2 linked regions of the Rattus norvegicus genome follow. The protein of the gene in region 1 purifies or fractionates together with the protein of each later gene. This does not show direct contact. Links are inferred from orthologs where the notes say so. Each region holds a gene or a part of one and is shown in the gene's direction. Other genes may lie near its edges.

Region 1 (3,749 bases):
CTGGAAGTGTGACACTGAGTGTTCACGGCCTTTTGTCCCTACTCTGCAAAAATAGCTTGGAGGTGGGGTGGGAGGTGGGGTGTCTGGGATTCCTTTCACAGCGACTCAGGTGAGCACTGAAAGTGTCACCAAGGAACCTAGCCCAGTGAAGTGTAGCTGCAGAGGAGCCACTGGAGTCATCAAATTGTTAAGGTCAATAAAACATAAGCAGGGCTGGAGAGATGGCTCAGCGGTTAAGAGCACTGACTGCTCTTCCAGAGGTCCTGAGTTCAAATCCCAGCAACCACATGGTGGCTCACAACCATCTGTAATGAGATCTGATGCCCTCTTCCTGGTGTGTCTGAAGACAGTGGCAGTGTACTCATATATAATAAATAAATCTTAAAGAAATAAAATAAAACATAAGCAAACCTTCATTCCAAAAGAGAGGACGCCCCTGACCCCAGCAAGGTCTGCCCCTGACTCATGCTTTTGTTGTCTTAACCCAGAACCCAGGCAGTCAGAACTCATTTTTAAAAGAATGTTTCAACTAGTGGGCTGTGAGGCACCTGTATGAAGCCTCCTGCCCCCAAGTCCCCGGGATGCCAAGGGCTGGGCGGTATAGGTTGGACTTCAGTAAGCACCCCTGGAGCCAGGAGACCAGAGTTTGTGGGCCATAGCGTGGTCTGCGAGCCTCAGTTTATTCTAGCCTCCTACCCTCACCCACCCCCACTCTCACCCCAACTCCCATCCCCACCCCCACTGTCCCACCTCCGAGCATCGCCCCGCCCGGTTCTCAGGGAGGGCGCGGTGGGCGGAGCCAGCAGAGTCTGTCACCGCAGCGCTCGCGTCACTGCCGAGGGGGCGGGCCCGGGGTGGCGTTCGGGGTCACGGAGGCTGCTGCTGCGCCCGCCCTCCCGTCGGGCCCCCGCGTCGATTCACAATCTCCCGCTTTGCGTTTCTCTCCCGGCTGCATCCGGACGAAGATGGCAACCGATGGGCTGCACGAGAACGAGACGCTGGCGTCGCTGAAGAGCGAGGCCGAGAGCCTCAAGGGCAAGCTAGAGGAGGAGCGGGCGAAGCTGCATGACGTGGAGCGTGAGTGCGAGCAGGGGGTGGAAGGGAAGCTCTCGGCCGGAGTGGACCAGACTCTCCAAGGGGCTGGCGGACCTGCGTGGGACCGATTCCAACGTCCCTGATGGGAGGATGCCGAGCCCCTCCCAGGGGGCGGGTGGGGAGGTGGTGACAGCAGGTGCGGGCGGGCGAGGAGAGACCGCTTTACAGTTCCACGTTGGGCTTCTCTGCCCCTGTCAGGTCCCTTCCTCTGCGTGGATTTTGAAGCTCCCTTTCCCATCTCTCCACTGTCCTTGGGGGCAGGGAGCTGGATGGCGGAGGGAAGCCGATGTGCTTTCTGCATCCGCCGGCTCGGCTTGGGGTAGGCCCTTTTAGGAGTGTTTGATGGATGCTGCGGCTGACATAAAAGAGCTAACGCGGTATAAATAAACTTGCCAGCGTGCCCGCATCCCAGAGACTCTCGGCCAGAGAGAGAACAGAGCTCGGAGTAGGGACCCTGCTTGGGCAGTGGTCTTACCCGTTCACCCTCCCTTACTTACGTACTCCCTTTCAAGGCCTGCCAGCCCCCAACCCTAACACACTTCTGTACGGTGCGCCCCCCCCCCACGCCCCTGCCCACCTTCCTAATAGGCCTTGATCTTTTCAGTTCCATTTAGAGAAGGGAACTGGGGGTCAGAGTGAGGCCTTTAGTGTTTAATTTCTTTGAAACTTGCTGGAAGTACAAAACCCTGGTTGTCTGCTCTCGGGGCCTTCTCTTAAGTTAGGAAGGGGCAGCTAACTCCTGTGTGGTTAGAAATGTGCTCAGATGTAAGTGGTTAAATGGTGGGTTTTGGTAACAAGATCAGGTCTGGTGCAGCTACCTGGTGCTTTGAGGGACTCACGCGTTTCCACGCCTTATCGCTGGCACTTATTTACCCAGTGATCCCAAGATGACTGCCACCGCTCCAAACGTTGCCCCTGTATCCAAAGCAGGAAGAAGGGAGAGTGTGAACACCGGGGCTCTTTTCCTTCTTAGGGAAAAAGCAAACATTTCCCAGAATTCCTCTCCTCCCAACATTTCTATCTGCACTTCATAGGCCATGTGGCCCCTGCCAGGGAGTCTGAAAAAGGGGGAGCCAGGCTGAGCATGTTGCCAGCCCTAAATGAGAAGTGAGGAGTAGGTATCAGCTGCGTGACATGGGCCTGCCTTCTCAGAGCCTTGTATGCTACAGATAGATGATGGTGTTGCCTCATCTTGGTATCAGTGCCTTGGACTTCTCCACTTGACAGCTTAGTCTTGTGGCTTGAGCAGTCTTTTTGAAGCCCCACACCGATGGCCCTTATGACATGAGCCCCCCACTCTAGCACAACCCTTCAGCCCACACAGAGAAACCCTTGTCTTGTCGTCTCTCCATCCCTTAAAGTCCCACTCTGACCACAGTGTCTTCCAGGTCCTTAGGAACCCTGGCTCTCTCCTGTACCTGGAAGCCCTGTCCTGTGTTCCGTCACTTCCCTGACATCAGCACAGACATTTTGATCAACTTCTGGAAGTCTTGCTGAGGGACATTGACTCTGGCCCTCCTGCCCCCTCCCCAGCCATGGATGTAGCCATCCTCCTGTCTCCTCTCGCTGAACTCCAGGGGCTACTGAAGAGAGGGCACCAAGAGACCTCTGTGGTCAGTGGCTAAGTGACCCCTGCATTGCCCTTAGTCAGATTTACCCTGGCAACTGTAAGACGTCAGCAATCTGTGGGAGTCTCTGTTCTGCCCACCTTTTATTTCCCTCACAGAAAGTGGGAGGTAAAAGAAGTGAGAGGCCTGTTTATAGATCTGAGTTCATAGATTTAGCCCTCGTCCCCTGCACACCTGCAAGGGTCAGCTTCCCCTCTCTCCTCATCTCAGGATACCCCTCCTCATCTTTAATTTCCCTTCCATCTCTCTACCTCTGAAAACAGTCACACACACACACACACACACACACACACACACACACACACACCTCTATCTTTTACTCACACAGTTTGTCAGCCCCTAGTGTGTCTGCCTCTGCTTGGTCCATAAAGATGCTGCAGTGAACAAATCAAGAATGTTCCCTTGTAAGTCTTTGGTCCAAAGGCTTCTAGAAGTTGGTCATTCAATAGGTAAGATGAGATTGGGTTAGACACGTGCTCTGGATAGAAGAGAGGGGGTGGGGATGTGGGAAATGAGTCTGGGGGAGCTCAGAGACTTCCAGAGACTGTGAGCTGGAGTGGCTCCCAGAAAGGATCTTTGAATGCAGACTCCTTACCTGTGTAAAGGACAGACTGTCCCAGAAAAGAGCATTTGAAATAAAGCAGCAGCACAAGCTGGGTCAAGGGAGCATTGATGTAGTGAGGCAAAGCTGAGGCAGGGGACTATGTTTGCTGTACTTAGGGAAAGCTGAGGCTATGTCTGGAGAGGCATAAACAGGAGTAGAGAAGAAAGTGGGGTTACAATGGGAGCTATTGGAGCATGGAGGGACATAGCGAAGGATTGGGTGCTATGCATGTGTGTGTGCACACGCACGTGTGCGTGTGAATGTGTAGAGACCTGAGGTAAACTAAGGTGAATGCTGTTCACCTTGGTTTTTATAAACAAGTCTCTCGTTTTACCTGGACCAAGTATGTAGGCCAGGCTGGCCAATGAGCTTGAGGGATCCTCCTGTCTCCGCCTCCCTGGACTGGAATGACAAGTGTGAGC
Region 2 (3,649 bases), on another chromosome or scaffold:
TGTGAGGGTATTAGTAACTTACAGACTCGTACAACTCTTCTACAGACTAACGACGACACTTGGCGTAAAGCAGTTTACACAGTTTGGACACATAGCAAAGGCCATAAATACCAGCAGCTATTCCAGCTGTCAGCAAGATTCCAGTGTTGTGTGGGGTCATCATCCTCAAGAGACAGCAGTCTCGGGAGGAAACAATATATTTTGAAAAGGAAATTGCTCAGAATCGTTTGTTCAGATACAAACTACAAACGATTCCATGTTATTAATTTTCCCGCTCTAGTATCTTCTGTGCCATAAAGAGGACTTTGAGATGCACAGAGATGACTTGGTGGTGAGAGCACTGGCTGTTCTTACGGAAGACTAGGGTTTGGTTCCCAGCACCCATGTGGCAGTCTGTGTAACACCAGTCCCATAGGATCCAGTGCCCCCTTCTCACCTCCTGGAGTGCTGCGTGCATGGGGTGCACAGACATGCACGCAGTCACACACACACACACACACACACACACACACACACACACAAAGGGAAAATAAAATCTCGGGTAAAGAGTGCTTCAGAAACGTCATGCCGTGTGCCTGTGTGCGAGCGCCGTGGTTGAGTAGTAGAGCTCTTCCTAACAAATGTGGGTACGGCAGTGCGATTTTACAGTTGCTGCGTCCTGTTAAACCCATCCACTCCTATTGCTCGAATAAGTAAAAGCCACAGGGAAAAAAATGTTCGCTATTTCCCCTCAAAGTCTGACCTTTGCCCTCATTTGGGGGAGCCACGGCTAGAACAGTCCTTTTCCTTTCATCTCATCATCGTCGAGTTTGGGAAAGATGCATGGAGAATTAGTTCCCACCTTTGGAACTAGCCAGGCATTTCAGTCGTTTGCATGCAGGCAGCTGCGCCTGTAACGGCAAAACATCAGCATCCGAGTTCTTCTGCGGCGTGCGTCTCTGCCCGCCTGCGAGCAAGCTCCGGGAATCTGCCGAGCCTCAAGCCTTCATCTACACAAGGTGGATGGTGATTTATACCGATGCACTCTCACAGAGATGGGAAGGAAAGATGCTCGGTGGGACACGTCTAACATTCACGTTAGAGCAGGGTGAGGGCAGACCCTCACGCAATGACTGACGGATTTGAGCAACAAAGAGACGAATGCCACATAAAAGGTAGGGGTTGGCATTGGAGTGCTCTGTGCGCAAGGCATGGAATCCCAAAAGGTCACCACAGCCACCGGGCGCTGAGTGTCACGGGGCAGATTCTCGCTCAGAGGGTTGGGCATCAACCGTACTGACACCTTCATTTCAAACATAACATTTCTGGCGCTGCTGTGCCGAGAGGACATACTGGTGCTGCGTTAAGCCATCTGGTTGGTAGTGCTGCATCAAGGCAGTGACAGGGAACAAATGCTTATTTCAGTGTTTACATCCAGATCAAGGTAAGCTGGCCTTCCCAGCAGTAATCATTCCCCTATATTTTGGCACTTCCTACACAGGTCTACTCTGCAGAGCAGAAAAATTTTACTTCTACTACAGAGCAAGAGAAATTTTAACTTGATGTCGAGAACAAAGTAGGCTTATGATTATCGAGCTGCTGTGAGATTTTCCCTTATCAGAGCAGCAGCCACTCCACACCGAGTCACTGTCACCCTGGCCTATGGCACAGTGTCTGTCTAGAATAGTGCTTCTGTCTGACTAGAATAGTCCTTCTGTCTGGCCGGCGGCTAAGAGAGCAGAGAAAGAAAAGCTGAGCGTTTGCTGATTGAGACTGTAAAACTGATTTCTGTGTCCAACCTGTTAATCTTAAAACTGTTGTAAGCTCTAAGCGATGGACGTCTAATCCACTTGGTCCTCAGGCAAGGATCAGAGCAAGGGTGTGGCCACTGATCCCTTCCTGGAGACTCGTGAACTGGGCAGGGAGGTCCTGATTGTTAGTTCAAATGGACAGAGAGGGAGAGAGAAGCGTGCCTGGCAGGTCATGCACTGATTCTTCTGCCCCAGAGTAATTAGCATCGATTCTGCTCACATCTCATTGGCCAGAACAAATCACTTGTGATATAAGCTAGTCTGATTATCACTGTGCAGATATATGGAGCCTACCTGGAGTGAAGCATGGAATGTAGTTATAGTATAATCTGCCCGAGTCTTAGAGAAGCTTATACTTGCAGTGGTCACCGTGAGAGACTTTCACACCCTACAGTTGGTGAGCCTCAGCACAGGCATACGGTGTCATGTAAGAATCCAATGACTGACTCCATGTTGTCTTAGAGAAGCTTATACTTGCAGTGGTCACCGTGAGAGACTTTCACACCCTACAGTTGGTGAGCCTCAGCACAGGCATACGGTGTCATGTAAGAATCCAATGACTGACTCCATGTTGCTGATTCCAAATGACATTCTTCTGGTAGGATCACCTACCCCATCGACAGATGTCAGCTTATCTCTCAAAGTTAAATCTAGCTCCTCAAGTAACAAAAACGTGCAACAACTGCGGAGGATAGCACCATTGGTAATTCCTCACAGGGAGCTGGCAGTGCGCACGACACCTCCCCAAAACGCGAAGCTCCTCCAATGGGAGCCTTCTTGGTTGGAGTCACATGGTGCTACTGTAATGAATATTTTCTATACTATATGATATCAGTGTGTGTGTGTGTGTGTGTGTTGTGCATGTGTGTGTGTGTGTGCGCGCGCGCATGCGTGCGTGCATGCATGTTAGTATGCCTTCTGGTTAGAAAGGGACACCGGTCTAGCTGTAGGCATTCTAAGGAGAATTCCAGAAGCAGGGGTGTGGCTATAGAGAGATAGCAATGACTCTCCTAGGTCAAGAGCACCCTTTGTGTGGGATTCGATGTCTTCCCTAGGTTATCTCACTGGTATAATTCTGCCACCAGTGCTGGGACTCAGCGGCAGCAACTAAGGTATCATGGCACAAAGGTTTAAGGGGAAGGTTGGTGCTTGCTCGGTTCTCCGATTCTCGAGTCAAGTGGCTCTTCTGTTTGAGGCCCTGATTGCTTCGCTCCTAAATCCCCACCTGCCGGCCACAGCGCTGTCAGTCAGGTCGGTTTCACTGACAACCAGGAAGCAGAGCTTATGCAGGCGGGGTGTAGCCCTTCACTTACATCCGTTGGCTTTCAAGTGCTTAGCTGGATGAACTCCAAGGTGGAGGACCCCAAAGCTGGGGTCCTGAGTGGCTGAGCGGTGGTGTTTGGGTCCGTGCCTGTCCATCCTCTCAGATGTCTTTGCCTTCCCATGCAGGTGTCCAAGGCAGCTGCAGACTTGATGGCCTACTGTGAGGCACATGCCAAGGAAGATCCCCTGCTGACCCCAGTCCCGGCCTCAGAAAATCCCTTTCGGGAGAAGAAGTTCTTCTGCGCCATCCTTTAAGTCTCTGAGAGGAGGCTGAAGATGGTCGGGGCTCCCGGGACATTGATGTAGAGTTCCTAGCAGAGTGGGCGCCTTTCTCGTCCGCAGCATTTAAAGAGAGGAAGGAGAACCATCCTGGACACTCCGGGCTGTGCATGTTTAAAGAACTGTCCCCTCATGAGAATGAAAGCTTGATTCCATGTCCTAACTTTAGAGATCTGACCCTGCAGACCGGCCTGGAGGAGGGGAGTGTATAAAAAAAACGAGATTGGTGTCACTTCTTTTCTGCTACCCCCCCACCC

Evidence for each region.
Region 2: the proteins of Gnb5 (region 1) and Gng2 purify together in Homo sapiens (affinity purification with western blotting; 4 studies listed by BioGRID and IntAct, with this or other methods). This does not show direct contact. The link is inferred for Rattus norvegicus from reciprocal best matches to the Homo sapiens genes GNB5 and GNG2.

Annotation. Positions count from the first base shown.
Region 1 is NC_086026.1:84,955,771-84,959,519, forward strand, and holds the start of Gnb5 (guanine nucleotide-binding protein subunit beta-5), read left to right. Parts: upstream 1-858; 5' UTR 859-965; coding exon 966-1,077; intron 1,078-3,749. UniProt on the Homo sapiens protein: Enhances GTPase-activating protein (GAP) activity of regulator of G protein signaling (RGS) proteins, such as RGS7 and RGS9, hence involved in the termination of the signaling initiated by the G protein coupled receptors (GPCRs) by accelerating the GTP hydrolysis on the G-alpha subunits, thereby promoting their inactivation.
Region 2 is NC_086033.1:4,459,397-4,463,045, forward strand, and holds part of Gng2 (guanine nucleotide-binding protein G(I)/G(S)/G(O) subunit gamma-2), read left to right. Parts: intron 1-3,239; coding exon 3,240-3,368; 3' UTR 3,369-3,649. UniProt on the Homo sapiens protein: Guanine nucleotide-binding proteins (G proteins) are involved as a modulator or transducer in various transmembrane signaling systems.